4 linked regions of the Tamandua tetradactyla genome follow. The protein of the gene in region 2 interacts with the protein of the main gene of each other region in a biochemical or structural test. Links are inferred from orthologs where the notes say so. Each region holds a gene or a part of one and is shown on either strand. Other genes may lie near its edges. The genes, in order: MAPK7, PML, RNF4 and SENP1.

What was found.
Region 1: the proteins of PML (region 2) and MAPK7 form a complex in vitro, tested with the Homo sapiens proteins (2 studies listed by BioGRID and IntAct, with this or other methods). The link is inferred for Tamandua tetradactyla from reciprocal best matches to the Homo sapiens genes PML and MAPK7.
Region 3: of the proteins of PML (region 2) and RNF4, one has a biochemical effect on the other in vitro, tested with the Homo sapiens proteins (3 studies listed by BioGRID, with this or other methods). The link is inferred for Tamandua tetradactyla from reciprocal best matches to the Homo sapiens genes PML and RNF4.
Region 4: of the proteins of PML (region 2) and SENP1, one has a biochemical effect on the other in vitro, tested with the Homo sapiens proteins (2 studies listed by BioGRID). The link is inferred for Tamandua tetradactyla from reciprocal best matches to the Homo sapiens genes PML and SENP1.

What each region holds. Positions count from the first base shown.
Region 1 is NC_135332.1:2,656,043-2,664,141, reverse strand, and holds the start of MAPK7 (mitogen-activated protein kinase 7), read left to right. Parts: upstream 1-4,930; 5' UTR 4,931-5,270; intron 5,271-5,384; exon of another isoform or gene 5,385-5,476; 5' UTR 5,477-5,487; coding exon 5,488-5,809; intron 5,810-5,819; exon of another isoform or gene 5,820-6,191; intron 6,192-6,529; coding exon 6,530-6,695; intron 6,696-7,832; coding exon 7,833-8,099. UniProt on the Homo sapiens protein: Plays a role in various cellular processes such as proliferation, differentiation and cell survival. The upstream activator of MAPK7 is the MAPK kinase MAP2K5.
Region 2 is NC_135338.1:68,045,658-68,053,917, forward strand, and holds the start of PML (protein PML), read right to left. Parts: upstream 3,095-8,260; coding exon 3,081-3,094; exon of another isoform or gene 2,994-3,080; intron 2,982-2,993; exon of another isoform or gene 2,944-2,981; intron 2,581-2,943; exon of another isoform or gene 2,265-2,580; intron 1,905-2,264; exon of another isoform or gene 1,848-1,904; intron 1-1,847. Other genes in the region: STOML1 (stomatin-like protein 1), read left to right, coding at 3,093-3,225, 5,006-5,112, 5,246-5,292, 5,895-5,982, 6,078-6,227, 6,511-6,714.
Region 3 is NC_135345.1:2,217,899-2,225,632, reverse strand, and holds the start of RNF4 (E3 ubiquitin-protein ligase RNF4), read right to left. Parts: upstream 3,272-7,734; 5' UTR 2,805-3,271; intron 1-2,804. UniProt on the Homo sapiens protein: E3 ubiquitin-protein ligase which binds polysumoylated chains covalently attached to proteins and mediates 'Lys-6'-, 'Lys-11'-, 'Lys-48'- and 'Lys-63'-linked polyubiquitination of those substrates and their subsequent targeting to the proteasome for degradation.
Region 4 is NC_135333.1:108,140,317-108,147,951, forward strand, and holds the start of SENP1 (sentrin-specific protease 1), read right to left. Parts: upstream 3,313-7,635; 5' UTR 3,231-3,312; intron 3,219-3,230; exon of another isoform or gene 2,725-3,218; 5' UTR 2,599-2,724; exon of another isoform or gene 2,515-2,598; intron 1-2,514. Other genes in the region: PFKM (ATP-dependent 6-phosphofructokinase, muscle type), read left to right, coding at 4,572-4,653, 5,673-5,795. UniProt on the Homo sapiens protein: Protease that catalyzes two essential functions in the SUMO pathway.

The sequences.
Region 1 (8,099 bases), on a different chromosome or scaffold from region 2:
TTCAAGCACCAAGAAGCCTGGAGAGAAAGCTAGCAGATGTAGCCATAGTCACCATGTGCCTTTCCAGTTGAGAAAGAAACCCCGAACTTCATCAGCATTTCTTGAACAAAGATAACCTCTTGTTGGTGCCTTAATTTGGACATTTTTATAGACTTGTTTTAATTGGGACATTTTCATGGACTTACAACTGTAAACTTGCAAGTTAATAAACTTCCCCTTGTAAAAGCCATTCTGTTTCTGGTATATCACATTCCACCAGCTAGCAAACTAGAACATCTATGCTTTTAAATAACTTTTTTTTTTTGTATAATATAACATATATACAAAAAAAAAAAAAAAGCAAGTTTTCAAAGTACTCTTCACCAAGTAGTTACAGGACAGATCCCAGAGTTTGTCATGGGCTACCAAACCATCCTCTCAAATTTTTCCTTCTAGGTGCTCCAGAATATAGGAAGGAATAAATATTTTTATTCTTCTAGTTAGGTCTTTCATCCATTTTGACTTCATTTTGTATATGGTGTGAGGCAGGACTACATCTACATTTTTTTCTAAGTGGGCATCCAGTTGTCCCAGACCCCCTTGTTGACTATTTTCTCCCCATTGAATGTACTTGGCACCCTTGTGGGAAATCATTTGGCAATAAATGTGTGAGTTTATTTCTGGGGTCTTCATTCTATGCCTTTGGTCTACATTTGTTTATCCTTATGCCTATACCACACAAGTTTTTTTTGTTGTTGTTTGTTTTTTTCTGCATGGGCAGGCACCAGTAATTGAACCCATGTCTCTGGCATGGCAGGCGAGAACTCTGCCTGCTGAGCCATTGTGGCCCACCCCACACAGTTCTGATTATGGCAAATTTGTAGGGAGTTTTGAAATTGGGAAGTGTGAGACCTCCAACTTTTTCTTCCTTTCCAAAATTGTTCTGCCTATCTAGGGCTTACTGCAATTTCATATAAATTTGAGGACTGGCTTTTCCATTCTGCAAAGAAGGCTGATGAATTTTGATAGGGATTGCATTGAATCTGTAGATCACTTTGAGTAGTACTGACATCTTAATGATATTAAGTCTTCCAATGCATGGACTCAACACATTTAATATAATCTAGAGGAAATAAATTCTTACAATCAAATTACCTAAATGATTCAAGAGGAAAGAAAATCTTAAAAAAAAAAAAAAAGATTTAGGTCTTTAATTTTTTTCAGCAATGTCTTGTAGTTTTCAGTGTACATGTCTTTCACCTCCTGGGTTAAATTTATTCCTAGATATTTTATTCTTTTAGATGCTCTCATAAATGGAGTTGTTTACTTGATTTCTATTTTAGATTGCTCATTGTTGATGCATAGAAATACCAGATTTTTGCACATTGGTCTTGTACCCTGCAACCTTGCTGCATTGGCTTAATAGCTCCGGTGGTTTTCTTCGGGATTTGTCAGGATTTTCTCTTATATAAGATCATGTCTTCTGTGAATAGTTTTACTTCCTCCTTTCAAATTTAGATGACTTTCATTTCTTGTTTTTCCCTAATTGCTCTGGCTAGAACTTCCAGTTCAATATTGAAGCACAATGGTGACAGTGGGCATCCTTGCCTTGTTCCTGTTTTTAGGGGGAAAACCTTCAGTCTTTCACTATTGAATATAATGCTAGATGTGTGTTTTTCATAAGTGCCATTTATCATGTTGAGGAAGTTCTTCCCTATTTCTCATTTTCTGAGTGTTATCATGAAAGAGTATTGGATATTGTCAGATGCTTTCTTGCATCAAGATCATCCTTTCCTCCACTTTGTTATATTAATGTGGTTTATTACACTGATTTCCTTATGTTGAGCCGACCTTGCATTCCTGCAATAAATCCCACTTAGACATGGTGCATAATCCTTGTGATATGCTGTTGGAGTTGACAGCATTTTGTTGATGATTTTTGCATCTATATTTATAAGGGATACTGGTCTGTAATTTTCTTGTGATGTCTTTTTCTGGCTTTGCTACAAGGATAATGTTGGCCTCACAGAATGAGCTACAAAGCATTTCCTTCTCATTTTTTCTTTTTTTTTTTTGGAAATATTTGAGAAGGATTGATATTCTTAATTCTTTGAATGTCTGGTAGAATTTACCAGTGGAGATAATTGGTCCTGGACTTTTCTTTGTTGGGACGTTTTCTCATTCCTGATAAAAACTTTTTACTTGTAATATTCTTTTTTTTAAGATTTTCTTTTGTCTTGATTCATGTAGGTAATTTGTTTGTAAGAATTTGCCATTTCATCCAGATTATATTAAATTTGTTGGGATACTTCCATAGTATTGCCTTATAGTCTTTATTTCTATAAGGTCAGTAGTAACGCCCCACTCTCATTTCTGATTTTAGTTATTTGTGTCTTCACTCTTTTTCTTTGGTCAGTTTAACTAATGGTCTGTCAATTTTATTCATCTTTTCAAAGATCTAACTTTTGGCTTTGTTGAATCTCTCAATTGCTTTTCTAGTCTCTAATTCATTTATCTCCACTCTCATTTTTATTATTTACTTCTCCTCACTTTGGGTCTAAATCTTCTTTTTCCTAAAGATGTGAAGTTAGGTTATTGATTTGAAATCTTTTCTAGTATAGAAGTTTACATCTATACATTTTGAGCACTCTTTGCTGCATCCAGAAAGTTTGGGTATGTTATGTTTTTATTTCCATTAATCTCTAAGAACTTTCTAATATCCTTGTGATTTCTTCTTTGACCTGTTGGTTGGTTAAGAATGTGTTGATTTTCACATATTTGTCAATTCTCCAGTTTTGTTTCTTGATTTCTCGTTTCATTCCATATGACTAGAGAAGGTACTTTGCATGAGTTCAATCATTTAAAATTTAATGGAACTGGTTTTGTAACTTAATGTATTATCTAAGCTGAAAAATGGTTCGTGTGCACTGGAGAAGAATGTGTATTCTGGAATTGTTGGCTGGAGCATCACATATACGCCTGTTACGTCTGGTTGGTTTATAGTCACCTATTTCACTATTTATCTTCTGTTGAGTTCTCTACCCATTATTGAAAGTGGTGTATTGAAATCTCCAACTATTACTGTAAAACTGTCTCCCTTCAATTCATATATTTTTGGGTCCTGTTATTAGGTACATACATGTTTAAACTGCTACAACTTTGTGATGAATTGACACTATTGTCAATATATATTTTCTTTGTCTCTTGTAACAGTTTTTAACTAAAGTCTATTTTGTTTGATATTAGAATACCCACCCCAACTCTCTTTTGGTTATTATTTGCATGGAATTTTTTCCTACATTTTGGCTCACACTTTTTAAAAATCCATCTTGCCTTTCTCTGTCTTTGACTGAAGAGTGTAATCCATTTATATTTAATAAAATTACCGATAAGCTAGGGCTTCAAACATTTACCACTTTTTTGTATGTTTTGCATCTTATACTTTTGTCACTCAGTTCCTCCATTACTCTCTGTCTGCTTTTTGAAGCAATCTAATACTTCTAATTTTTTTTTTATCTTTTTTTTTTTTTTTTTTTGCAGGACCTAATATATTTTTCCTGACCCTGAACTTCCCTATTTTATTGTAGGCATCTCAGTAAAGCTTTCAAAACTTAGTGTTAAAAAGAAAAGTGGGGTAAAAAAAAAAAAAGCGTGGAAAAGAGTTAACAGAAATAACTGCCACCATCAGAAAAGAAGAGGGGCTTCTGAGGGGCTCGTCAAGTTCTTTTTCTTCTCTGAATGCATATTAAAACAGGTTATGTTCAATTTGTAAACTGTATTGCGCTGTACACATGATATGTGAAATTTTCTATACGTAGGTTTTAGTGAGATGTAAAAGTAAAAACAGCCAGGTAAATCGGTGGGGAATATCAATAGGGGAAAAATGAGCAAAGGCTTACCAAAACTCATTTCTCGCCTAGATCCAGTCCGTCAGCCACTGGTCTGCGACCTCAGGAATACACAAACCCTCGGCCTGGCACTCAGGCTCTAATGATCGAACCTCATCCAGATCTCTGCGTTCCTCTACTTTCCTACCTCCTCACTCCCCGTTTCCCCAGCTTCCTGAGCCCCTCCTCCTTTTCAACTCGCTTGCGGGAAACCCAGCCATCTCCAGAGTCCTAACTCCAAAACCACTTCTTCTTTACCGCCCTACCTCGAATTCTCCTATGAAAACTTTTCCTTCCAGTTCACAGCGCCACCACGCTCGCCCTTGCTCCTCAGCATGAGCCTTAGAGGGACCGTGCTCCCCAAGTGTTTTGCCACGCGAACGAAGGAACTGTCGGGCTCCGGAATGGCTCAGGGGACTCGCTCCCAGGGCGGGCTCGGTATTCTCGCGTGTCAGTTGCCCTCACGTCTCTGAGGATGGACGGCTCGGCCCGCGGCCCAAAGTGCGGGAGAGAGAAGAAAGCACCGACCCGCAAAGAACAGAACACGGAGCTGAGGCCCAAGGATGCCGGAAGCTGTGCGGACAGGCCCAGCAACCGGAAGTCAGTGGCGGCTATCCGCCGGCCGCTCTAGACGCCCGGAGGACCGAAACCTCTATGGTTGGACCCGACGCGCCTCGCCGCGATTCCCGCCTCTACCGGGAAAGATGGACTTCTAGAGCCGGCCTCCGGGGAACGAGAAATTGGGGTCTTCACAATCCCCGGGGCGATGCGGACCGTTAAGTCAACAGGAGCCAAAAGGCGGAGGATTTCGGAACCCGTCTCCAAGGTAACAGTCCTACGCCTCACAGCTCTTCCGGCCGACAGCCGCCCGACAGCCGCCCGACGAGCCCTTGAGCTCCTGGGACAATCTCGGATTGGCCGCGAGGGCGCCGAGCCTAGATGCGCGCAGGCGCGTGCAGGCGCGGGGGCGTGGCCTTCCATTCACGCCGCGCCTGGGACTCCAGCGCGCATGCGTCAGGGACGACGCCGGGCGAAGGCTCACTCACGCGAAGCAAGGTACACACACACCCTTCGGGCGGCTCCTGCCAGGGGACCCGGACAGTGGCGCGCGCGCGCGCGCGCGTGCAGGCGGGAGGAGTGGCTTCCTCCGCAGGGAGCGTCGGATTGGACGCTACGCGTAGGAGGGGCGGGACCCTCCCCAGAAACTGCCTGGCGATTGGCTAGGCGTTGGATGGGCGTGGTTTAGGGGGCCGGGCGGGCAGAGCGCGACGCTGAGGTGGTGGCGGCGGCGGGCCTTGAATAAGTGAGCGACTCTCGGCATCCCCCTCCGTGGGGAAGGGAGGCCCGGGGAGGCCTGGCAGCCTGCGGGAGCCCTGAGGAGGCGTCGGGGTGCGGCTCCGCTCGGTGAGTGTGGACCCGAGGGAAACCCCAAGTGCCCCGCCCCTTCCTTTCTTCCTGGGCCGCGGCTTGCGGCCTCCCCACCCTGACCCTCCGTGTAACCCTTGACCCTGTGCTCAGGACCCCAACTCGCAGGTGTAACCCGTCTGCTCCGCGCCCAGCCGCTCTGTTTCGACCCCCGATCCGGCCTTCCCCCCACCCCCTTGCTTTAGAGGACTTGGAGATGCCCCGATCTGACCACCTAGCCCACAGAGGGGAAACTGAGGCCCACGGGATGCGCGCCCCTCTTGACCAGCGTCTCCATGCAGACGCCATGGCCGAGCCCCTGAAGGAGGAGGACGGCGAGGATGGCGCCGCGGAGCCCCCGGGGCGGGTGAAGGCGGAACCCGCCCACCCCTCAGCCTCCGTGGTGGCCAAGAACCTGGCCCTGCTCAAAGCGCGCTCCTTCGACGTGACCTTCGACGTTGGGGACGAGTACGAGATCATCGAGACCATAGGCAACGGGGCCTACGGGGTGGTGTCGTCTGCGCGCCGCCGCCTGACGGGTATGCCGGGTTGGGGTGAGGAACCACCTCCTGCCTCCCTTCTCTTCCCCCAGGACAGGGGGTGAGTCAGCCTCTCACACGTATGGAAGCCGGTTCCCAGGGAGAGAAACCCGGCCAGGCTCAGTTTGGAAGGAAAATCGGGATATGGAGTTCAGTGTGCAAATCAGCAAGTATTGATTAGGTGCCGGCTGTCTGCCAGGATCCATCGGGTCCAGCCCCCTGAGTGTCTGATCCGGTGACTTTGCCATCACCCGTAGACGTCTGCTTCCTCTGTTGAAGAATGCCATTTCCTGTGGGGCCAGCACAGAGAGTTCTTGGTGTCTGTGAGAGACATGGATTTCAGAGCCACAGACTGGTGCATGGGATCGGTGTGGGGGGATAGGTGAGGTGCGAGATGGAGGGTGGGGAAGTAGAGCGAGCACAGGTATTAGCCTCTTGGTTCTATCACAGGCTAGCTGCACAACCTCCCAACGAGTTACCGAGCCAGGTTTCCTTGGCCGTAAGCTAAACTGTTGGTGCCTGCTTTGTAGGGGAGTCGTGCCGATCAGATCTGATAACGTGTGTAAAGTGTTCAGCACAAGGTTTCACACGTAGTAAGCTGTTCAGTAAACAGACGCTGTTGCTCTCTGCACCTCAGAAGCCAAGGGGGACCTGGCGTCACTCCACAGCTTCCCCTGGGTAACCTCACCCCCTGAGGTCTGCCTTTTCCCTGTTCCCCAGGCCAGCAGGTGGCCATCAAGAAGATCCCGAATGCTTTTGACGTGGTGACCAATGCAAAGCGGACCCTCAGGGAGCTGAAGATCCTCAAACACTTCAAGCATGACAACATCATTGCCATCAAGGACATCCTGAGGCCCACGGTGCCCTATGGCGAGTTCAAGTCTGTGTAAGGAGCGGGGCTGGGAGAGGGCTGAGCTGGGGCCATACTTTCGAGGTTCTGGAAGGGCAGCAGCATCCAGGGGAAGGCAGGCTGGGAAGATTCCCATGATTCTGGGACAAGCGCTTCTTTAGGGATTTGCCCAGGGAAACTGATATTCTCCAGTAAGGGGGCAGATGTCACAGTGTTAGAGGAACTCAGGGTAGTTAGTCCAGGATGGTGAATCTAGTATGGTGCCACCACTGCCCCTGCCCACACTCATGGCAGGCATCACTAAGCAATCACCAAACGCTTTCCTACAGGAAGTGGACAAGGCTCTGCAGTTTTCCTCATAGTCCTTCAATTAGTCACTGCCAGACAGTGGATATGGCCCCCAAACAAAAACCTATTGGCTATACCCAGTTTACTCAAGCCCCTCTTTTGTCTGATGGGGAAACTAGATCCAGGGAGAAAAAAGCTCTAACCAAGTTCATGACTATGTTAGTTTGCTGAAGTTGCTGAAATGCAATATACCAGAAATGGGCTGGCTTTTAGCAATGGGGATTTATTGCTTTACAGCTTACAGTTCTGAGGCTGTGAATTGTCCACATCATTGGGCAGTGCTTTCTCCCCAAAGACCAGCTGCTGGTCTGTCAAGGCGACGTCTTCTGGTCTCTCCCTTCTCTTCTGGGCTTTGTTGCTTTCAGCTTCTGGCTGCTCCGTCTGTGGTTTTCTTTCTGAGCATCTGAGTGGCCTTTCTCTCTCAGTGTCTGTGTTTTTTCCTCTCTCAGCTTTTCTGTCTTTTTGTTACTCATCCTTTTATAAAGGACTCTAGTAACAGGATTAAGACCCACCCTGAGGCAGGCCTCCATGAAATAATATTAACAAAAAGGTCCCACCCACAACAGGTCTACACCCACAGGAATAGGTTAGCGTTAAGTAACTGGTCTTTTCTGGGGTCCATAAAACCTCCACACCATGACAATAACAAAGGCATAGAGACTTTGGAACCTGGATCTCTTTTTCCCTACCATGTTGTTGACTTCTACGGGGACTGGGGGAGAGGGTGTTGAATGGCACAGGTGCAGTGGTGAGGGTGGGGCTAGTCCCTGGACAGGAGAGGGCCAGCCCATGCCTTTCCTTTCACCACCACTCCCCACCCTGCAGCTACGTGGTCCTGGACCTGATGGAGAGTGACCTGCACCAGATCATCCACTCCTCCCAGCCGCTCACACTGGAGCACGTGCGCTACTTCCTGTACCAGCTGCTGCGTGGCCTCAAGTATATGCACTCCGCCCAGGTCATCCACCGCGACCTCAAGCCCTCCAACCTGCTGGTGAATGAGAACTGCGAGCTCAAGATTGGTGACTTCGGGATGGCCCGTGGCCTGTGTACCTCACCTGCCGAGCACCAGTACTTCATGACTGAGTACGT
Region 2 (8,260 bases):
TTAACTCTTTGCAATTGTCACAATTTGTTCTAGTTCATGAAAGAGATTTTTTTAAAATATATATATTTGTACAGTCACTCACAGTTATCTTGGAACAGACTAGAAGGGATGACATCTTAGTTTTGTAGGCTACCATACAAAGTACCTACCACAAGATTCACTGTGTTATACATTATCATGTTTTAACCTCCAACTTTCTTTCTGTTGACATACATGACTCTAAATTTCCCATTTTCACCGCATTCACACGCAGTTCAGCACCATTAATTATTTGGACAATAATGTGTTACTGTCACCTCTATAAATTTCCAAATGTTTAAGTTCACCCTAGTTAAATATTCTGCATGTATTAAGCAACCGCTCCCCATTCTTCAGCCTCACTCTATTTCCTGGCAACCAATATTCCATATTTTATGTCTATGAGTTTACATATTATAATTAGCTCATGTCAATAACATCATACAATATTTGTCCTTTTGTGTCTGACTTAATTCACTTAATGCCCTCAATCCATATTGTTGCATACTTCAGGACTGCATTCCTTCTTACAGCTCAATACTATTCTATCATATGTAGATACCACATTTAGTTTGATGGACTCTTGAGTTGTTTCCATCTTTTGGCAATTGTGAATAATGCTGTTGTGAACATCGGTGCGCGGATGTCTGAATATCTGTGTGGAGATATCTGTTTGTGTCCTTGCTTCCAGAAGTGGGTATATCCTGAGTAGCAGAATTGCCCAACTATAAGGCAACTCTATGCTTAGCTTCCTGAGGAACCTCCAAACTGTCCTCCACAGCAGCCGTACCGTTTTACATTCCCCTTAGCCATGAATAAGAGTTCCTGTTTGTCCACATCCTCTCCAACACTTGCAGTTTTCTGTTTGTTTGATAACAGCCATTCTAGTAGGTATAAGATGATATGTAATTGTGATTTTCATTTGCATTTCCCTGATAGCTATGAGGCTGGTCATTTTTTTTAATGCGCTTTTTAGCTATTTGGAGCAGTACCCATTTTTCTGCTCAGTTCCAACTTGTAACAGACTAGAAGGGATGACATCTTAGTTTTGTAGGCCTACCATAACAAAGCACCTACCACAAACTAGGTGGTTTAAAACAACAGAAATTTATTGTATCACAGTTTTGGAGGCTAGAAGACCAAAAGCAAGGGGTCAGCAGTGCCAAGCTCCCTCTGAACCTGTAGGGGAAAATACTTTCTTGCCTCTTCCACCTCCTGGTATTTGCCAGCAGTCCTTGACTTGCAGCTGCAGCATTTCAATCTATGCTTCGGTTGTCACATGGCATTCCCCCCTCTTGTGTCTGCCCATCTCTACCCAAATTTCCTTCTCTTATAAGGACAGCACTCATAGTGAATTAGAGCCCACCCTAATTCACTTTGGCCGCATCTTAACTATTTATATCTTCAAAGATTCGCTTTCCAAATAAGGTCACATTCACGGGACTAGAAATTAGCCCTTCAACATATTTTGGGGGGGGGGGAAACAATTCAGCCTATAATATATGATGTCAGGGCCTTGCTCTTGTGAAGTTTATAATCTGGGGGTAATTTATAATCCATTTCCCAGGGACTGGGAGGCCTGTGGTGGCCCAGGGCCTGGGCCCCTTCCTAAACAGCGTGCAACAAGCCTGCTTTAGCTAAAAAAGTAAACAATTTCTCTGGAGGTGGAAGATTGTAATCAGATGTAAAATCGCCATTGATGGTATCAAACACTAATCTCATAAAGTACCAATGCTTAAGTCCCTTTAATGATTCTATCAGAAGCCTGATGTTCTCATACTATACGGAATATCTTTGTTCTGAAATCATATTGCCCCTTGTTCCCTCAGTCCTGCATGGAGCACTATTCCTCCAGACCGGCTGCCACCCGAGAATCTCTCCTGTTTGTAAGTCCCAATAACTCTCCTGCGCCTGGCATGTTTTTTCGGTCTCACAGCAGCACCAGCCCATGCTGTCCACGAATAGGTCTGCACCAGAACAAGGCCTCAAAATAGCCTTAGCCTCCAGCCAGGATAGCAGCCTGCTGTACCCTCCAGTCTCGTCAGAACCCCCAGGGTTTAGAATCAGGCTGCTCTCTGAGAACCCAACTAAGAAAAGCTAGAGAAGGTGGGCAGCCCTGGAAGTGGACTATGGCAAAGGGCTGAGGGGCCTGGGAGCCAGGACTAGCCTGTGGCTGAGACAAGGAAAGGAAAGTTTTATTCTTTTCTTTGCTTCCTTTGAAAGACAGCCTGCTCTGAACCTGACCAACACCCAGTTGGGCGCGGTTGCTTCTCAGAGTAAATTCCTCATTTGCATTTGGGTTTTCTCAAGCCTTGGAGAGGCAAGTTACCTCTGGGTAACTGGATCAAGGGCCATGGTGTTTCCCAACAGGCAGGACTGAGGAGCTCTCCTCTGTGATGCTCTGAAGGACCTGCCCTCTGGATAGCTCCAGGCTACCCGCCTTCCTTACTCTGTCTTTCTCCTTGAAGTCTACACATGGAATTTTCTCTTTTGGAGCCAAAGTTCAGGCATCCCCCGCCCCCGCCTTGACCACAGTGACCTGGTAAGGACTTCATTCAACAAGTAAGTACTGAGCATCTGCCATCTCCTAGTTGCTGGAGAAACATTAAGCCTAGATAAGGAAAACTAGTCACCCCTCCTACCCATCCCCTGGGTCCCGCCCCAGTGGAAGAGAGTTTACAGACGGAATGCTGTGAAAGCTGATAACAGCATATCCCTGATTCGAGAGAAGATTCGGCCCTGAAAACCACCTTACAAAGCCCAACTTTCTTCCTGCTCCTTTTCTAAGGCCGCGGAGGAGACAAGAGGAGCAGGCGCGGACCCCTGTCTGCTCCCAGGAAAGCCGACCCCCGCCCGGTAGCCGCAGTTCGGTCCTCCAAGGGCAGGGGGCGCAGTGCAACGCTGGGAGCGGGGCCTGCCTGCCTCTCCCTCCTGTGCACCGGCAGCGACGGGTGGCCGCGCAGGTGAAGCCGGAAGCGGCGGCCCGAGCGCAAGCGCGGCGGGGGCGGGGCAGTAGGGCCCGCCGTTCAGCCGGGCTCTGCCTGGGGCGTGGGGCGTGTCACCTGGCAAGCGCCATGCTCGGCAGGTCTGGCTACCGGGCGCTGCCCTTGGGGGACTTTGACCGCTTCCAGCAGTCGAGCTTTGGTTTCCTGGGCTCGCAGAAGGGCTGCTTGTCCCCGGAGCCGGGCGGCGTCGGGCCGGGGGCGGGTGAGTGGCCGCCCAGCACGGCGGGCCTCGGGGTGGGGTTCGGTACTGGCCGGCGCACGCAGGCCCCAGCCCCTGTACCTGTTGGGAGTCGGCGGACCTGGCGTCCTGGAGCTCCAAGAGGATGGATGGAGAGGGGTCCTGGACCTGGTATTAGGGTGCCGGCGTTGTTGCATCCTACCTGGTGGGACCACTGGGCTGCGGCCCCGGAGCCAGCGCTGCTTCCATCTTACAAAGCCTTACCCCACCACATGTCTCCTCTGCCTTTATCTGCCTTCTACGCCTGGACAGAGAGTTCAAGACCTTATTTTGCAGTGTAGGCAGAGGAGGTCACCAGCACCTTAAGGATACTTGACTGCAGAGAAGTGAAAAAATCTTCACCCCAGAGGTCACCTCTGGAAGCCCTGGGACCAGGCGTCTCCCTGTTTCCCTATTTCCTGGTGCTGCTGGGACCTCAGAGCCCTACACTGTCTCTTATGTAGTTTCCTTGGCTTGCAGGCTTGATGCTCCACTTCTCAGCATGACAACCAAATTCTGGCCTTACTCTACTGTGCTTATCCCAGGGTTTCTGTTTCTTCTGCAGGGATCATGTAGATCACAGCCAAGCAGGGAATGAGACTTAGATCCCCCGTTGCTTGGAGAGCCATGGCATTCCTGGAAAGATGGAGCAGAGACATGCCTGTTTCTTATCCAGGGTTGGGAAAGGAGAAAGCAGAGTAATTTTATCCCATAGTCTGGGCCTGTCTGGGCTGCACTCCCATCATGGGATCCTGCCTGGTTCTCCTCCAGGGATCAGGATCTCTGCTCAGATGAGCCTCATTTTCTGAGGGCCTCCCGCCACCTCCCACCTGAAGCTGCTTGAAAGTAAATTGTGTATGTGATAGTCCTTAGGAATAGTGAACTAGAAAAGAACACTCTTTCTGTTCATGAGCCATTAATGTTTTATCCCTTTTAGGCCAAGATGTTCTCTCCAAACCCTAGGAGTGATGGTAGAGGAAGAGTATGTTATGTTTGCAGCATTCAGTTCAACCCAGCATGCAGTTACAGAGGCCCATGTGCTCTTGGCTGTGTGCCAGGTATAAGTAGGCAACGTGAGTTAGACAGGGGATTGACACCTTCTCTTCCCAGTGAGGTGAGCATCTTGTGAATTGGATTGCCAGATTCAATGGCTGTTGCATAGCAGAAAATAGAGCCTTGTGGGCCTGGGACTTGGGACTAGTTTTTTGTTTTGTTTTGTTTTTTGGCTTTTAAAAGGGGGAATTTAAGAAGTTACAAGTTTGCAATTCTAAGGAAGTGAAAGTGTCCAAACTAAGGTGCCAACAAGAGGTTGCCCTTACTCAAGAAAGGCTGATGGGTCAGAAACACATCTGTCAGCTGGGTAGTCATGTGGCTGGCATCTGCTGGGCCCTTTGCTCCTGAGCTCTGTTGCTTTCAGCCTATGTCCCTGTGGGCGTTCCTCACTTTACTTCTCTGGGGCTGGCCTTCATTTCTTGGCTTCCCTTGGCTCTCTCCAGGTTCTGGCTTGCTTAACATCTCATGGCAGTGTCTGTGGGCTCCAAGCATCTCTAAACATCGCGTCTCCTTTCTCCACTTGGGGCAAGTTAGTTTTAATGCATGGAAAGAGAGAACAGTTCCTACCTAGGGCCATTAGACCAGGAGGCTAATTGAAAGCCTTGAGAAAGAAGGCACCTCTGAAGCAGGAGGTAGGCAACTTGACTACCTTCCCTCAGCCTGTGGCTGTCCTGCCTTGGCATTCTATGACTCACTTTGCTCTCTCCCCCAGAGGTGCCCCAGAGCTGGTCCTCCTGCCTCTGCCACAGCCTCATCAGTTTCCTGGGGTTCTTGCTGCTGCTACTGACCTTCCCCATTTCTGGCTGGTTTGCCCTGAAGGTAAGGCTGGGCCTCCTTGACCGCTTTGGCATCCATGAATGAATCCCTCTTCCTCTGCCCCCTCCTCCTAAATATTCCACTGTCTCACCTTTGTGAAATGAGCTGGGCAAAGCTTGTTCATTCCATTTTCCAGATGAGGAAACTGAGGCTCAGACTTGTCCAAACTCCTCCCGGGCACTAGTAAGTGTTAGAAACAAGTCTCCCCAAACCCCCAAGTCCTGGGCACTGCTTTAATTTATGGTTCACTTGGATATGTTTGCCAAATCTTCCTCCCTTTGAGTCGGGTCAAATTAGAAATGAAAAAGAAATCAACTTGGCCTAGGAGGTAATGAGTAATAAGGAATTCAGGCACTGCTTTCAGCAAGATGTGGTGTAGATGGGAAAAGGATGATTAATAGGGTTGTCAGTGAAGATTATGCCTGAAAGCAGCAGTAAAGTTGAAAGTCTGCCCTTTGGGTGTCCCTAAGCCTCTGGGTTTAGTGTGGCCTAGAAGAGAGTCATTAGAAGGTTCTAGAGCCTGGTTCTAAAACCACCACTGAAGCAAACGCTTTATGACCTTGGCCCAAGGTCCTTTTGGGCCTTCATTTTTCAATTTGGACAAATCTCCTTCCCTGAGGGCTCCAGGCATCAAAAGTTGGCAAAGGCAGATGGTTTCTTGGCATGAGCTTCAGACAGCAGTGGTGAGAAGTTTCCCTGAGGATCAAGTCAGTACAGTGTGGTGGATAGAGCATGGCCTTTGGAATCATTCGGAACTGAATTCACACCTTGCCTATTTTACTTAGTGGCTGTGTGTTTTTGAGCAAGTCACTTGATGTCTCTGAGCCTTGGTTTTCTCATCTAAGAACAGAACTAAGGATACACTCTGACCAGGTGAGGGAGAGAGAGGTGCCAGAGGGACCTGGGTAGAAGTCATTGGCTGGCCTGAACTCACCACTCTAAATCCTCTCCCTTGCCGTTGTGGACAGATCGTGCCCACCTACGAGCGGATGATTGTGTTCCGACTGGGCCGTATCCGCACCCCCCAGGGCCCTGGTATGGTCTTGCTTCTGCCTTTCATTGACTCCTTCCAGAGGGTGGATCTGAGGACACGCGCCTTCAGTGTCCCTCCCTGCAAGGTGAGAGACGAAGGGAGTAGGGGCTTGTGCAGAGTGTAGTGTGGGTACCAGGGCCTTGGCCTGTGAGTAGCCAACTGGGGAGGGAGGGAAGATGAGACCAGAGGATTGAAGACAGACACTGGAAGGACATCCTCGTGCCACATACCTAGCCCCACGTACCTGAGGGCCAGCTGCCGGGTGGCTGGGTCAGGCCGGGTGCTGCCAGCAGGCCCGGTCTCCCTGCACCTCCCAGCCTCTTGGCCTGGTCCTCTCGTGTGTCCTCCCTCGTGGCTTCCCCTAACAGCTGGCCTCTAAGGACGGGGCAGTGCTGTCTGTGGGGGCTGACGTCCAGTTCCGCATCTGGGACCCGGTGCTGTCGGTGATGACTGTGAAGGACCTCAACACAGCCACGCGCATGACAGCCCAGAATGCCATGACCAAGGCCCTGCTCAAGCGGCCGCTGCGGGAGATCCAGATGGAGAAGCTCAAAATCAGCGACCAGCTCCTGGTAAGCAGCCCAGCTGCCCCGCCTCGAGGAGCAGAGCTGGCCCCCGGCCCCTATGTGTGGCTCTGCCTGCTGGGTCACTTTGAGCAGAGCACAGGTTCCTCTGGGCCTCAGTGTTCCGTATATCATATGAGTGGACTAGCCTTTGAAGATCCGGTGAGACTGTGCTTTGAGGAACGGCAGGTGGGTCCAGAGCCCAGCCAGCTTGGGCAAACATGTTGCTAAGGAGTGAAGTGGCCCTAAGAAGAGGAAGTAACTTGGGTGGAAATTCCTGGCACCCTGGCCCTTTCTGCTGTTATTTTACCCTTCACTGCTCTGCTGGGCCCGGTGGTTGCTGTGACAACAGTGGGCCTCAGGGAACCTCTGTACCCCTTGGGCCCCAGGTCTGACTCATCTCGTGGGACAGGCCGATGGGTGAAGAGCACGTTCCTTTCCATGGCCCAGTCACCTCCTGGGCATGTGCACTTTTGTGCTTTTGCTTTCTTTGTTCTGAATAGAAGAAAGTAATGTGCAAATATTTGGACCCTTTTCCTGTCTCTCCTCCATATATATGAGAATTTATTTACCCTGGAATAGCCATCTTGAGCCCTTGCTGCAGAAAGATAGAGTAGAAGTAAATGCACACTCCTGAAAAAATAATATTCATAATAGTAATAATGCTCTAAGGTACACAGCATTTTATAAAGTCCTTTTGCCTGCCCCTATGTATCTCAGCTTCACATTTTTGCTGCAAGAAGCTAGGTGGTATTGTTTTATTTTGGAGGGAGGAAACTTGAGGTTCAGAGAAATTACTTGACTGGCCTTTAAGGCGTGGTCAAGGGCAGAGCTGGGCCAGAGTGCCAGACCACGTGACACCCACCCCCCCACCTCAATCCAGTGCTGATTTGAACACAACTCATTAACAGGTTGATAGCAATTTTTAGTTGTAAACATGCACACCTTTAAAACACCCTTAAGAAGGGAAAATTGACCTCAGCATTGTAGCACACTGCCTTGCTGTAAGAGAGGTAGTTTGGGGAAAATCAGTCCCACACTGGGATGTTAGACTTGTTTAGTGCCCATTGCCCAGATGGAGTTGGTTGGCACCTGGTAGTGTAAGGTCAGTGTCTCTGGCTAAAACTGAATCTTAGGAACTATTTTCAGGTGTATGGATCTAATTCTCCCTCTTTTGGCTACCTTCCATTTCACCTGGGTCCCTCCTTAGGGGCTTACCCATTCCTGTAGGGCTGACAGCTTCCACCTTTGATGCCTCCTCCACCTCCACCCCCACCCCGACCCCAGCTCCCACTCTGCAGCAGGCCTTGCCTCTTGATCCTCGGGAGGAAAAACTTTAGACCAGAGCTCTTTCACCCTCTTCCCAGCTTCCTCCCTCAACCTCATCTACATCTGGGCTCTTTCTCCTGCTGTATTTGAAGTATCTTAGAACCCCAGGTCTCAGGTTCATCCCCGCACCAGACAGTGCTCTGGCAGGACAGCTCCCTCCCTTGCTTGTGGTCCTCTCCTTCCTTGTCTTGTCTTCATCATTATCATCTTCTTCTTCCTCTACCTC
Region 3 (7,734 bases), on a different chromosome or scaffold from region 2:
AAATCAATCTATATAGAAAACCAATTTATTCAGCTATCTGGAGGCACACGCTGTAGTTAACTTACTCTAGCGGGTATACCAGGAAACCAGGTGGTATAATTGCTCCAGGAAACCATTACGGTCACAGCTTCTCTTGCACAACAAGTTACTGATAATATTGAGAAGTTTCCAGGCCCTTCCTACTCTTCATGTCTGATACCCAATAAACTCGGCAGTTCTTACTTATGCCTGAAAAAACTAAACAAAACACTTCCAGAGGAAATTTCTGATCCTTGCAGCAGCAACCTCCACTCCCACACTCCCATCCCTATACCCAAACTTCACGTTTTCTCAAACTTGAACCCTTACCTTGGGGCAGAGCTGTGCTCTGGGCCCTTGTTCTCAACGAAAACCTCAAAATGCCTGCAGCCCACCTGAGAAACAGGATCTTGAGGAGAGACAAGCTGAAAGAATACAGATGCAAGTCATACCTCAATGATAAAGGGTCAGCCCAATAACAGTCTATATGAGCGATCTTATCCTTCAAAGACCACAAATTTGGGTACAGTTAAAGATGTAGGTAAATAATTTCAAAATAAAGACAAAACATATACACGCAAATCCATTTTTACACATCATATAAACCAATTACTTTATGCACATATTTTTATTGAGTAGCACCTGGATTTTTTTCCCAGAAGAATTGTAAGCAAAGAACAGTGATTGCCAAGCAACCATCACAGATACCACGTTCCTGACTCCATCATTTCACTCAACCCCTGGCTAAGCTACCTCTATTTCCTCCTAACTGTGGCCCAGGGACCACTATTCTTGTCTACCTTTCTAATTCATCCTTTTCACGAATAGCAGTTTTTCTAAAATGCAAACTGTGTTACTTCTCTGCTTATTAACTCAATTCAGTAGTCTCCCACTGGCCTTAAGATCAAGACCCTTCGTGGTCCGGTGCCTGCTTACCTCTGCAGTTTCAACTCTTGACACACCACATCTCTCTCAACCTATATTTCAACTGCCGGGGATTTTTCTCACTCTCTCCACCTTCCCTACTTAGCTTCACAACGGCCAGCCCCATGTTATCTTGTAACCCAAGCAGAAAGCTTGGCACAGAGATCACCTTAAGAATGTGCTGACTTAGTAAACTAAAGCATGCACTCTCAAAAGAGGCAAAAAATCTCTAATAGCGTTTTTACTAAAAAACACAGACACACATGCAGTACGTTAAAAAAAACAGAAACTGTTTAAAATAAAACAGAGAGAAGATGAAAAACAACAGAATAACAGCAAAATGTGGACAAGTTCAGGAGGCATATGTAGGTATAACAGAAAACTCTGAAAGAAAGGGAGGTGTAGAACGCATATCTGAAAAAAAAAACATAGTATATATGCAGCACAGAAATTTAAAGGTAGAAGTAATTCTGGAAAAAGCCTGAAAGGATGTTAGGGAGTAATCATGGAATAAAGATTGAGAAACACTGTACTAAAGGAACATTTTTGAGTCAGAGCAGAGAGCTCAAAATCAACAGAAAGGCCAGCAGTACATGTTTCCACTTCAACGTTCCCATTTCACCTCAAACGCATGGATAAAATTGAGCCCAACAAGTCTCCCACCCCTTCAAAAGGAAACCATCAGAAAAGCAATTGCTGCCAACATACCCGCCTTTCGTTACCAGTGGCTCCAGAAACTCTCGGTCACTGACCTCAAAAGCCTGGTCCCATAGCCAGGAAACCTGGGCTGTAACGCCAACTAGCTCGGGCAGATCGCTCCACCATTCTGGGCCTCAGTTCCCCGACCACTTAGGGAGCCTAAATTTGAGTGCAAAGACTAAATTTGAGAGCTGAGACCCCGAGTCTGCCTCTGGGCACTCTGCGCCTGAAGACTGCAGAGCTGAGACCCCGAGACTGCCTCTGGGCACTCGGTGCAGGCGCAGAGCGGAGGAAGGATTGGGAATGTGATGGGCTGTAGCAAGGATAAGACAAAAGCCGAAATTTCACACACAAAAAACAGCCACCGCAGGCTCCCCCAGGTTCAATTTCCTTTCCTTCTCCCCGAACGGATCAAAAGGGGGTATTTTTTGTGTATAGTGTTTCGAATCTCAGGCCTTAAGAATCTGAATAATCTCCATACCCCTGACTACAGGGGCGCAGGGGCGGAGTAGGCGCTCCAGGCGCGGGGGCCTGGCCTCCATAGCCTGTTCCCGCCCCACCCCCCCACCCCCGGTAGGAAGGAGCTGCCCGAAGCCGCGCGGCTCCTAGAAGCTAGGCGCCGGGCGGACGCTCTCTGGAGGATCCGACCCCCCCCCCACCCGCACCGTAAGCTTCCCCATTCAAGTCGGGGAAGGGAGCACCCCCAGGTCCAGGCACCGAGGCGGCCACACAGGCCCCGCGACGGCGGCACGACACAAAGGAGGCCTCGCCACCCGGAACAAAACCCCGCAACGGCTCCCCCGGAACGGCCCGCACAGGCCCGCGCCTTAGCCCCGAGCTGCCCCGGCTCGCCTCTCCGAGTGACCTTGGACGCGTCCGGTGCCCTCCCCAAGCCTCAGTTTCCCTCCGTAGGTTACAGGCTAAGCCCACGGCCGGCCCGCTGCGGGGCGCCGAGGGCGGAGGGAGGCCTTCCCATTTCCGCTGCCAGCGCCGGCCTCCGTCCATCCGTGCGGGCCGGAGATCGGGGAGTCGGCCGAGATCCCTGAGGGGGCGGCTCCGAGCTGGCCTGAGTGGCGCCAGGGCAGCTCCCCGAGCCCCTGCAATGAGGCCTGTGCAGGCCGCGAGGCAGCCTGAACCCCGCATCTGCCGGAGCGCCGACTTACCGCTCCCTGCCCGCGACGCCTGGCCTTACGTGGAGCTGGCTTAGTCCCGCAGCGCCGTCGCCAACGAGCCCGCAGAGAAAGCACCTTCGGAAACCGCGGAGGAGAACTAGCAAGACGCCGCCGCCTAAACAGAGGGCTACTTCCGCTCTGGAGACCTCGGCTCCGCCCCTTGCACGTCCCCATTGGTCGCCACAGCCCCTACCTCCTCGGCCAATAGGCGGAGAAATCATATTTTCAATCCTATTGGCTAGGAAAACTATCTATTACTCCTTTGAAAAGGGCTTCCTTCCGGCCCCACCCACGTCCTCCCGCTCAAGCTCCCATGTTTCCGCGAGAGCCGAGGAGGACCGGCTCTCCACCGCGTGGCATCTCGGGAGTTGTGGTGTGTGGGCCGGGGGCGCGTGACTTGGTGACCCCGGCAGCCCGCAGACCGAGCCGGCCCGCTTGTGGTCTGCGGAGCTCAGCGCCCCCCAGTCACTCCTCTTAGGTCACAGTCCGGCACGCCGGACAACGCGTGGGGCTGGACACTAGTCCGCGGCCTAATCCCGTCCTCACCCTGGGCCTCAGTTTCCCTTCCTGTTCAGTAGGCCTTTGCGGAGAGCGTTCCTGGAGCGACGCCCCCAGGCTGCCCGCCGGAAACTGGCCCTGGATCTGCAGCCTCTCCGGGGAGCCCGCGACCCACGATGAGCCAGGCCCTGGGCCCGGCGAATCCGTCTCTCTCCCGGCGAGGGCCTGATCCCGGGACCCTTTCGCGGCCGCCTGGAAAGGAAGCGTATGAGCGGGAACCCGAGGAGGCACGGCAGCTGGAAGGCCGGGAGGGCTCCCGGCAGAAGAGACCTGGGGGCTGGAAGGAGAGCGCTCCAGCAAGAGGGGTCCTGTGTCCCAGAACCCTGATACGTCCAGGAAGCTGAAGGCTGCGCAGTGTGCCCGGAGGCAGGTTGGGGAGCAGGTGTGCCAGGTGGGAGGGTAGTGGGTCAGAAAAGTCAGAGCTGAACCCGTGGAGGAGCACTGAGACGGGGTCGAGGTTTCGAAAGAGACCGTGACCGAGGCAGGGGCTTTAGTGGCTGACGCCTGGAGCTGTCAGGAGCTTCTGGGGGGCATTTCAGGCAACTCCAGGCTCAAAAGAGTGCATACTTCCCGGGTTTGAATCCCAGCGCCGTCATTTAATCAAGTCTCAACTGTTGGGTTATCCTCAGAGGGAGAACGTGGGGCACACATCGCACAGCAGTGTACAGGGCATGCCAGGCCCTGGGTGAGGGCTACAGGTCAGAATCGGACAGGAGGCATCGGTCTAGGACCTGGACCCAGGCCTGGACTTGGGCTTGGAGGGACTGTTGCCGTGGCAACCAGGAAAAGGAACCCAGCTTGTCCCTGTTGACCATCATCTGTGGTGCCTAGGCACCCCCAGGCAGTAAGGACACCCCAAATGCTGTCTCCTCAAGGGATCTTCAATCCAGGAATATTGAGTTAGGTGAGGATCATACCAGCAGATCATAACCAGAGCATGAGTAGTTTTGAGTTACATGGACCAATAATCTGCTTGAATTTCATGTAATCTGCTTCCATTGTAAAATATGGGTTGAAGGTTTGAGTTTTTGAAAAATTTTAAATTGTGAAATATAACATATATAAAAAAGGCAATAAATTTCAAAGTGTATTGTAGCAAGTTCTTATGGAACAGATTCCAGAGTTCAGTATGGATTACAGTGCCACAATTTTAGGTTTTTCCTTCTAACTGCTCCAAGCACTGGAGACTAAACAGAATATCAATATAATGTTTATAATATAATATAAATCATACTCATTTGTTAAATCCTATCTTCTTCCTTACGACTCCTCCTCCTCCTTTGATACTTCTCCCAATCTTTACGGATATTTGGGCTATGCCCATTCTAACGTTTTCATGTTGAAAGAGGGTGTCAATAATAAGGGATGGGGGGTGGAACTAGTTGAGGTACTTGAAGAGGCTGTCCCCTCTGGGTTTCAGGACTTATCTAGCAGGAACCATCTTAAGCTTGTAGGTTTCTGGAAAGTAATCTTAGTGCATGAAACTTTTGCAGACTTTTAGAGCCCTAGGCTCTCTTTAGGTTTAACAGGAAAGGTGTTGGTTGGACTTTGGCACACCAGGGTAATTAGCAATATCTAGCTGAAGCTTGCATAAGAGAGTAGCCTTCAGAATAGCCTCTTGACTCTATTTGAACTCTCTGAGCTACTGATAAAATTATTTTGTAACATTTCTTTTCCCCCTCTTGGTCAGGAAGGCATTGTCAATCCCAGGGCGCCAGGGCCAGGCTCATCCCTGGGAGTCCAGTCCCATGTTGCCATAAACCTCCACCCTTGGATGTCATGTCCCATGTAGCAGGGAGGGTAATGATTTTACTTGCAGGACTGGGCTTAGAGAGAAAGAGGCCACATCTGAGCAACAAAAGAGGTTTTCTGGCAGTAACTCTTAGGCATAACTATAGGTAGGCTTTGTTTCTTGGCTACAGAAATAAGCTTTATAAGCGCAAGCCTCAAGATCAAGTCCATGGCCTTGACTTGGGAGTCCCTAAAGTTTGAGACAGTCTTAGGGGTTTCCCTGATAGTAAAGCCTAATAGTTCCATAGTTTTCTCCTGTCCCTCAAGGCACTTTGCCAATACTTTTTAATTAACTGCCCAACATACTCTGGGATGTATCCAGGCCTTACATTAAGCTATACAGAATAACAAGCCCTCATTCCCATTCTGGGCTCTGTGTGTTTGGGTTGTTTAAATGATCTGTCCAGATAGGTTGAGTTAGAGTATGTGCTACAGAAAATTTAGATTTTGGACAAAATAAACCTCTCTTTCTTTGGTCTCATACAGTAGATGAAGTTCTAAAATACGATGTCATTGTTTACCCTGTATTCTAATTGACCTTAGTCCCGACCAGATCAGCTTCATTCTTCTCTGTCCTTGAAGCCTGAACTCTTTTTTGGTTTCCTTAACAGTTGTGGTATGTAGCAATGCTGACTTTTAGCACTGCAGAACTCCAGCTCTGAGTCTTAGGTGTCATACAGATAGCCAAACTTCCAGGGAGATACCTGCTTAAACATATACAGCACAGTAACTCAAAATCTAGAAATAACATTTACAACTCTGGACTAAATGTGACTGCTTTAAGAGCTTACACTAGGCCCCAATTTTCTTACACGTATTTTCTGAAAGAGATCATACTATATTTGTTGTTTTACTTCTGGCTTATTTTGCATGACATAATGTCCCCAAGGTTCATTAACCTTGTTGTATGTCTCATGACTTCATTCTTTCTGTAGCCTCCACAATATCCCATCATGTATACAGCACAGTTTGCCATTCTACTTCTCAGTCAGTGCATTCTTCAGCCACCTTCATCCATTGGGCATCATGTCCAATGCCCAAAGTCAACAGTCCATGTTTCACATTATCCTCACTTAATAGTGTAACATTATACTCTCGATTTTAGGCAATTTTCATTGCTCCAAAGGGAAAAATAACTGATAAACACACTCTCACCACATAGAAATTCCAAACCTCCCCTTAACTCTTGTCCTTCCCCCCAATACTTACCCCTGATATTGCTGTGTTATCGTTGATGGGTTCCTGTTAAACATAGCCCATTGCACGCAAGAGTAGTTTTCCCCCATATGCCTCTATTATGGACTCTCTGTACAAGATCCATATCTTTGAAGTAGTTCATGCAAGAATTTTATATTTGTAATGTTGATCAGTAGGATACCTGGCTCTGTACAACCCGTCATCATGTTCACCTTCAATATGGCATATTACTTTAATGAACCACCTTCATTTCTATCCATTCCCTTATATTTATGTTCAACCTCAGTAGCTAACCCTTCACCCATCTTTAGTTTGTATGTATCTCTAGGTCCCCTATATTCTACATTATAAGCCTGAGTTTACCTTCACTAAGGTTATAATAGCAAGATCATACAGTATCTATCCTTTTGTGTCTGGCTTAATTCACACAGCATTCTGTCTTCAAGTTTCATCCATTTTTGTCATATGCGTAAGGATTTCATTTTGTCTTATTGCCACATGATATTCCATTGTATGTATATACCACATTTTGTTTATCTACTTGTCTGCCCTTGGCTGGGCAGCATTCCAGGACAGCAAGTGGGAGCTCCAAGGCCCCCTGAAGCCTGGGCTCAGAACTGGCACATGGCCACTTCTGCTGTACCCTGTTGGCCAAAGCAAGCCCCAGGGCCAGCCTGGATGCAAGGGCTGGGAGAGGCAGTCTGCACCTCACCGGGAGGAGGTGAAAAGTCACATGGCAAGGGGTGTGTGTACCACCGATCTCCCACACAAGGCCTGTCCAAGGCCTGCTCCCACCCAGGTTTGTTCAGGGCAGGGTCCCTGGAAAAGGCTGTAGGTGCCCTCACACCTTTTCTGAGCAGCTTCCCAGGTCCCCGAGGGCGGGGCAAGGTGGGAAACCTTGTTGATTGCCAACGAACAGTGCTGCCAAAAGCACCCCAATTGTTTTTCTGAGCATCACCTCTCTGCTCCAGGGGTCAGCCTGATAGGTGACAGGTAATTCCTGGTCTTGCCACAGTGCTCGCTTCAGGGACTCCTGCAGACACTCCCCTGCTGCAGGGACTGGCTCAGCAGTGGCATGTTCAGTTCTGACCAGTAGGCAGAGGTGACCAGGGACCTTGCGGACAGAGATGTTTCCTTCCAGAGTGCCAGTAGGGTGAGAAGGCCCCTCTTCCTCTGGATGTGGTCAGGCTAGAACTGCTATCAGCCTAAGTTCAGAATTCTTGGATCAGGCATGTCCTGTAGTCCACTCCATCTTTGGGTTGCCAGCCATGTGAGTTAATTAATCTGCTTCTGAAAACTGGGTGGCAATGGGCTTTCTGTTACTTGCTACTGAAGCCAATTGGAATGGAGCTGAATTCCCAAGGAACTCTGTAGA
Region 4 (7,635 bases), on a different chromosome or scaffold from region 2:
ATTAAAAGTCTGCTTGCATCTAGCTTAATAAACACATCCTCGGCAAGTGAACTTCTTAGCAGATTACCAAGAGGAGAAGAAGAGGGATGGTACTACTCATACCTATATAGATTCATAATCATATCACAGTATTTTTCTTCCACAATATTTTTTAAAAGATTGAGCACCTCATCAACTACACAGCAATACTAAGGCTTCAATGTATTCAGGAGACTGGAAGATGGTAATAGGCATTCTTTGTGGTCACAATAACAAAATGTACACACAAAAGAAGACTGAGTTATTCCTGGCATAGTTAAAGACTAGTAATCATCTGATCACCTAGCCTTGCCAGGGAGGATTCCCAAATAATTTAAGCCTTAGATTTATGCTTCAAAGATATTTTCAAATACTCCATTTAATACAAGGCTTTTATCTGGAAAATGTCCAGGTATTCTTTCATTTTTTAATAAGGTAGAATTTCCTGGGCCCTAGATTAAGGGAGAACATAAATAAATTAACACTGGCTTTTTCACATTTCACTCTTTCGAAACGACCTCATAATTGTAATCATTAGCCCTTTCTTGGTATTAAGAAGAATGTCAATTAAAAATTTGGTACCCAGAAGAACACACTCATGTTAACTTCCTTTGCATTTTCCTTAGAAGGCCATGAAGAGGAAGAAAGCTAGAAATTCAAATAATTTTAGATTATGTCCAGAGAGGTTAAATGACTTATCTGAAATCATACACATAAAGGACAAAACGAGGACAAGAATCCAGGTATCCTGACTCCTGAGCAAATGCACTATGAAACAAACTTCACACCCTTCACAAACAAAGCTTCATACCCTTCATACCCTCATTTAAGGGCTCATACACACTGGCAAGATAAAAGTAATCCCTCACTAACCCTGGAGAATCCATAGTGATTTATAATTTCAAATAAGGTCCCACACTCACATTTTAGTAAAACACATCCACCTTCTTCAGTGTACTTGTATTTTTACCAATCTACAATTACTTTGGTGGAAGGGATATTTTACCTCAAGATTCTCCATGAAATGTTCGATCTATAATTTTTGAGGCCACCAATGAAAACATTCTATAATCTTGTCAGTGTCTGAGAAATTAGGAATAAGTGAATCCAATTTTAAAAGATTCTACAATTTAAAATCAACAATTTTGATTTTTCATGTCCTGTAGCTCAAATGCATTTTGTGGGCGTAAGAGTTTTTGTTCTTTTAGGAAAATTATTCTAATAATTAGTTTTCTAGTACACAGTGACCACTTAAATTTACTGAAAAAACATAAGAAGTTATAAGTATCAGGTGAAATCAGGTTAGTAACTGAATGCAAGGTAATAAGAAATCTGAGAGAGAAAAAAAAAAGGTTGGTAAAGTCCTAACTGTAATAGAATATAACAAGTATGGAAAAGCATTGGAAAGTTTGCATACATGTATGGAGGTATGAAAAAGAATATGTTTAGGGCTAAGATAAAGTTACTGGAAAATATACACCAGGAGAAGCATTATACAATTAGCTTCGGCTAGGATCAAGACGTGATTAGAACAATTTATGACATAAGAAGACTGTAGAAATGATCACATGAATCACCCTCCCCTGAGCTCTGGAAAACAATTACGTAAATGGTATAATCTGTCCTAAAACCTTACAAATTTTATTTTGTTTTTCATATTTTTACATGTAATATATCCCAATTAGACACTAGAACAACAAAAAGGGAAAGACTAAGTATTCAACTTCTTTCACACAGCAAACACTGTCAACTACAGGCTGTGCAGGGTACTGGGTATTCAAAGATGGTCCCTGGCACTGAGAAACTCACTGTCTAGTGGGGGAAGCTAAATCCATAAACAGACCCATAGCAAGACAATAAAGTGGTGCAACTGGTAGGTGAGGGAGTCAGGAGGAAAAAAGGGCTCCCATATCAGGAGTCAAGAGTTACATCACTTAAGCCTGAAGTAGCAGAACCTGTTTTGAAATCCATTCACTCCCTCTATACTTAACTCATCAGATGGGTGACACCAAGAACATCCTCTCAGTGGGGATAATTAATTGGAATCAGGTAAAGATGAATGAGGTTTCTCAAAACAAAAAAGAATGAGGCTTCCTGAAAGGGACTGGACGAAAAAAAAGACAGGAATCTCTAAACTGAAAGATTAAGAGATCATGCTTAAGGTTTAACTGTAACTGTATTTTCTTAATGCCATGTAATCAGCATTCCAACACGAGTCCTTAACACAAAATATTTTTATGAAGGATAAAGATTTGGGAGATGATGAGATTTACTCCATTTAGGATATCCAATTAGAACAAGGACTTTTAAGTCAAATAATTGGTAGCCTATGAAAGGCTCTTTATTAATGTTACAAGAATCACCATCCCAAATATCAAAAGTACCAAACGTGAAGGGAAATAACTTTAACTGGGCTGGCTTAAAAGTGATAAAGTGTAAAGTTATTGCCAACGGATAGTGGAAATACTGCAGAGGCACCGATAAAGAGAAATCACCAAGCTCAAGAAAAGAGAAACTGAGCATATATCCGGAGAGATCACGTTAGAGCACACCAAGAAAGAGACGGTTCAAGGGGATTACCAGGAGGCGATGAGCCAGGTAAGCAAACTGTGGCAGTTAAGGGGATTTTCACAACCCGGACAGGAAGGTCCAGACGTTTGTTTCTGGCGGTGGAACTAGCGATTATCACATCTCAGGGAAATATCACTGAGTGAAAGAGTTGGAGAAATGTTGACGTGAATCGCAGTAGTAGTCGAGAAAGCTCCCTCAAGTCTCAAGGAAGGCGGGAGGTGAAGCAAGAGTGACGGAAAGCTGAGCTTCCCGACGAAAACAGCTTTCCCCTGAAAGAAGCCCCCGCTCTGGCGGGAAAGCCCGGGAGTCCCAACCGGCCTTAACCCACAAGTAAGGCCGAGCACGAGACGGGGCCTGCGATACCGGGAGGGGGGCAGACTCTGCGCGGTCCGGGAGAAGGCCTGAAGGAACGACCTCAGAAGCCTAACTAACGGCCGCCGGCCTGACCGCGGCTGGTGGACAGCAGGGGGGTGGGAGGTGGGGGGTGTCCCAGGGGGCGGGGCAGAGGAAAAGATGCCGGCGCCTCAGCAGTTCCCCCTTCTGCCTCGCCCAGCCCAAACCGGCCGGCCCGGTCCGGCACTGCCTCGCGGCCCAGGCTCCCTCCATCCTCACCCCTCCCCCAGCTTCCCGCCGCCACTCACCGAACCGGAACCGGCTGCTATGCGAAGGGGTTTCCGGCCGGGCGCGGAACGCAAAACCCGGGAACCGCCACGAACCGGAACCACCTCTACAACACCGGAAGAGCGGCTCGGTGGCTGCGGAGGAGGGGGCCAGAGAAGGGGTGGGGTGGGGTGGGGGCAGGAGGTCAAAGATCAGAGTTGAGGACCTACGGAACGCCTGCGCAGTGTGGCGAGCGCATCAAAGGCTGTGGTTATAATTTCCCTTTTCAAGTTTCAGTTTTGGCTCTTTCTGTTTCTGATTATTGGAATATTATTAGTGCGCTCTCCGTCCTCAGCTTTTCTCTGCTCCCTCGGCCTCCGTATCCGCCACCTTCTGGTTCCGCACGGCCATTTTTGCTTACTCTCCGATTTCTATGGCTGCTTTTTGCTGTGGTCCTAGATTTTGCGGGAGCGTTTGGCGTCCCCGACAGATGGGGACCTGAATTTTAAGTCGAATCTCAGGCTGTACCGTGTTTTATCGAGAGTCGCAGAACGTTAGTTAGAGATTATTGGAAATATTTTATTCCAACCGATGAGAGGAGCGAATTGTTTTCCCAAAGTTATAAAGTGCATGGCATATCTGGGACTGGGAAACAAGTTTACAAATTTGTAATCCTGTACTGTTTGCACTACAGCATGCTTGACTGGCCATCCGGCAAAAAGAAAGCTCTTGGGAAGGGTTTAGTTTAGACTCTGGGGACATGTAGAATCTTCTAGAAATCTGGGGCAGTTTGAAACACAGGCACACATGTCAGGAAAACTATAGATAACCCACGAAAGATCTACTTTTCTAAGAAGAGATAGGAAAGAACCCAGGAGACTGTAACCTCTGATGGACTAAGTGGCCTTGATGTACCTTGAACCCCATTGGTCAACTTGTAAACTGTGCTGTACTTTTTAAAAGAAAATAATGGAAAGAAGCATGTCTTTAATTCGGATCATTTATGAAGCCCCCTCAGCTTGGCTGGGCCTTGGACCTAGGCCATGGCTAAAGTCTTGAAGAATTAATCTATGTACTCACTCCAGATCTAGTTCACAGCTACCATCTGAGGTCAAACTTAAGGAAGGTGTCTGGAGTATCAGAAAAGATACTCTCAGCAGCAGGAAAAAGAGGGTGCTTGATGAGTTCAGGGGATCATGTCCTATCAAAAGCATAAGAGTAGGTTACTTTTATTACTTCACATATTTTAATATTTTTGTTGCTGTCAAGTTCTAAGGCCTAGTAGTTTTGAGCATATACGGTCATATCAGTTTTGTCCATCTTAATCATTCTATAGATCTGTTCATTTCATCTGAATTCTCCTCTATTTCTAGGAGACAACCATGCATAAAGAGGAATTTCATCTGAAATTTTTCATGTGTGTGATTCAATCTCGACAGTTAGTCAGGACTCCAGAGAGCACAGGTACCATTCTCCTAATCATACTTCTGCGACAGAGAATGAGTTCTCTCACAGGGCATCACAAAGGCAGGATTACTAGTATTAATGTCCTGGCCAGCGGGACGATCAACCGAGGTTCTAACTACTTTGAGGAAAGAATGAAATGGGACAAAGAGACGCGAAGAATGACAGCAAGACAAGTAGTCTGATCAAGCTGCAAAATTTTATTGAAAAGGCTGGGTATATATACTTAGAAGGAGAGGGGGTAGCTAGTAGGGATAGGTGGCGATCTCTGATTGGGTGAATAAGGACGAAGGGATGACTTGGGATTGGTGACTGCTGTTGCTAGGGTGGAGGGCAGATGTATGGCTAGTACTTTTGGTGTGAACTACTACTACTTCCGTGAAGAAGGCTGATTATAGCTTAGGCTGTTCTTTGTTTCAGCCCTGGCGGCCATGTTGCATGTTTCCGGCATGCTGAGGGTGGAATTTATACATGCTACTTTAATTGTCCCCAGCATATTAATACAGACCTTTGGGGTCAACTGAACTTGTTTATCTGTTACCACTATGGCAAGATATTATATCTCTCAGTCATATATTTTCTTTGTACAAGTATCAGGTGAGATTTTGAACTGGTATGTGGGGATAGGCCCCAGGCAGATAGGGCGGTCTTGGAAATCGAGGAGAACAAGCTTTGATAGCTTGTAGAATTCTTTAAACCTGTCCAGGCTCATCTGTGAGAGTTGTTGCCATTGTAATTGATACTCCAAAACCTAAAAGATAAATTGAGCTCCAAAAGAAAACTGGCCTCTTTCACCCCAGTCTACTATGTATCCTACTTTTTCCCCAGTTTTATTATCAAAGGAACCATTTTGAGGTGAGATAGTTATTGAAAAGAATCATCACCTCTCTGATTTTTCACTGGATTGTTGGAAAGAAGGCCCTAGACAGCCAGGAATTAGAGGGAGAATGGAAGGAAGTAAGGAGCATTCCCTTCCCTGAATCCCACCTTGAGGGTAACCTAAAGCTACTACTTCCTAGCTGGGGAACCTTCAACCTCAAGCATGCTCATACAAAAGCCACCACCAGAGACAGATGCCTTGAAGAGTCTAAATACTATGGATGATCCAGGCACCGTGGATGGCATACCTATTTTGAAAAACGGTGAGGCATATGGGTAAACAAGGGGTGAAATTTGGAAAGGTTATTGGAAAGTGAAACATTTGTGGGTAGCATTATAAATTGAGGTAGATACCAAAGCTGAAGTATGACTTAAAACCTAGGGAGATAGTATATGTGTGTATGTATAAGAGAGTAGGAGGATAGCTGGGAAACTGTAGAAAGAGGAACATTTTTCTCTATGAAAAATAGCATTAGTCAAAAAAAGTCAGTTTACTCCCTCATAACTGTAAGCTACTAATTTGTTTTACCCTATGTCAGCAACCTTGATATGTAAAAATGTGAAATAAAAAAGGGGTTAAGTTAAGGAGTTATATTAAAAATGATTCCAGGGTGGTGCGACAGTGCTCAGTGGCAGAATTCTTGCCTACCATGCTGGAGACCCAGGTTCAATTCCTGGTGCCTGCCCATGCAAAAAAAAAAAAAGATTCCAAATTTTGTGAAAATATTTACCTTAGGAATCTATTTAATAACAAATTTCTCTTATATATTTTAAGTAATGTGCAGTTAATAAGCAATTTACATGATGCTTCAGAAACACATGTGTGTATAGAAATACATCTATATTAGAATTAGTTCACTGTAAACATATACTGAGTTACCACTATGTGCCCAATATTATACTAGAAATGATAGGTTGTAAAAAATATATGACATATTCTTGTCATTGTCCCAATAGTTTACAGTTTGGAAATACTTTAGGGATTACTTAGTCCAACCGCCTTATATTTTCAGAAGAAATGCAGGTTTTAAAAAGTTTCTCAAGTTGGTGGTTTCATTGGAGTAATTTCTCCCAGTATCTCTGAAACACATAGCAGTATTTATGCAAAATTTTTTTCAGTACTTTGTATTTGAAGTCATTTTGTTTGTGTGTGTGTATGTGTGTGTGCATGCGTTGGCTCAGTAGAAATGAAAAAAAAAAAGCTCCCTATCCCCCAGGAGCTTACAACCAAGAAGAGGTTATATGAAACAATGTGTCAGTTAGGAGCTTGATAACTTTGGTCTAAAACGTCCAGTTTCAAAAGAAGATGCCATAGAGAAGTAGGAAATGGAGAAATCAAATGACTGTTTAGGCAGAGCTTCACTGAGCTCCAGCATGTTCACAGAGCACCATCCACTCCTGAGCTTTGAAATTGCATAAACTCAAATTTTATTGTCTTGTTAGTGTGCCTAGAGTTCACCAGACTCACAGGAACATTATTTTTATATAAAAATAACTATTCAAATATTGGAGCAATCAAAATATATCTTTTTGTGCATGGCAAGTATGTGTGGTCTATGTCCCTTTAATCACACTTGCTCTGCCCATGCAAAACAAAGTTGCCAGAAACAATAAATAAATCCAACTGGTGGCCTTGTCCTCTTGTTTCTGAAATTTATACAGATTATTACTTATTTGCCCTCATCTTCCCTGCTTTTCCCATTCTCATTTTTGCTCCATACTAATAATACCTATCTCAGACCCCCTTTGCCCTGATGACTTATTTGGATCTGCCTCTCTGGTTTGATCTCAGCATTATCCCATGGACAAAATTCTGATGTTCAACTATTGGCTTCAAGCATTGAGGCCTCAGGTAAGAGCCACTCTTAACTCTCCCAACATTGCCACTAGAGAAGGGAAATAAAATATCTTGCTAATTTATTCCAATGTCTTTTCTCTCTCCTCCTGCCCTCCCTGCCCCCCCCCCCATCTTCCTTCCTTCCTTCCAAAAAAAAATCTGTTGGGCATATAACAGTTAGGCATTGTACTTGGCACTAGGGATAAAATAGTAAAACAGATACTTTCTTGCCCTTATGAAGTTTATAGTTTTGTGGGAGTGAAGGC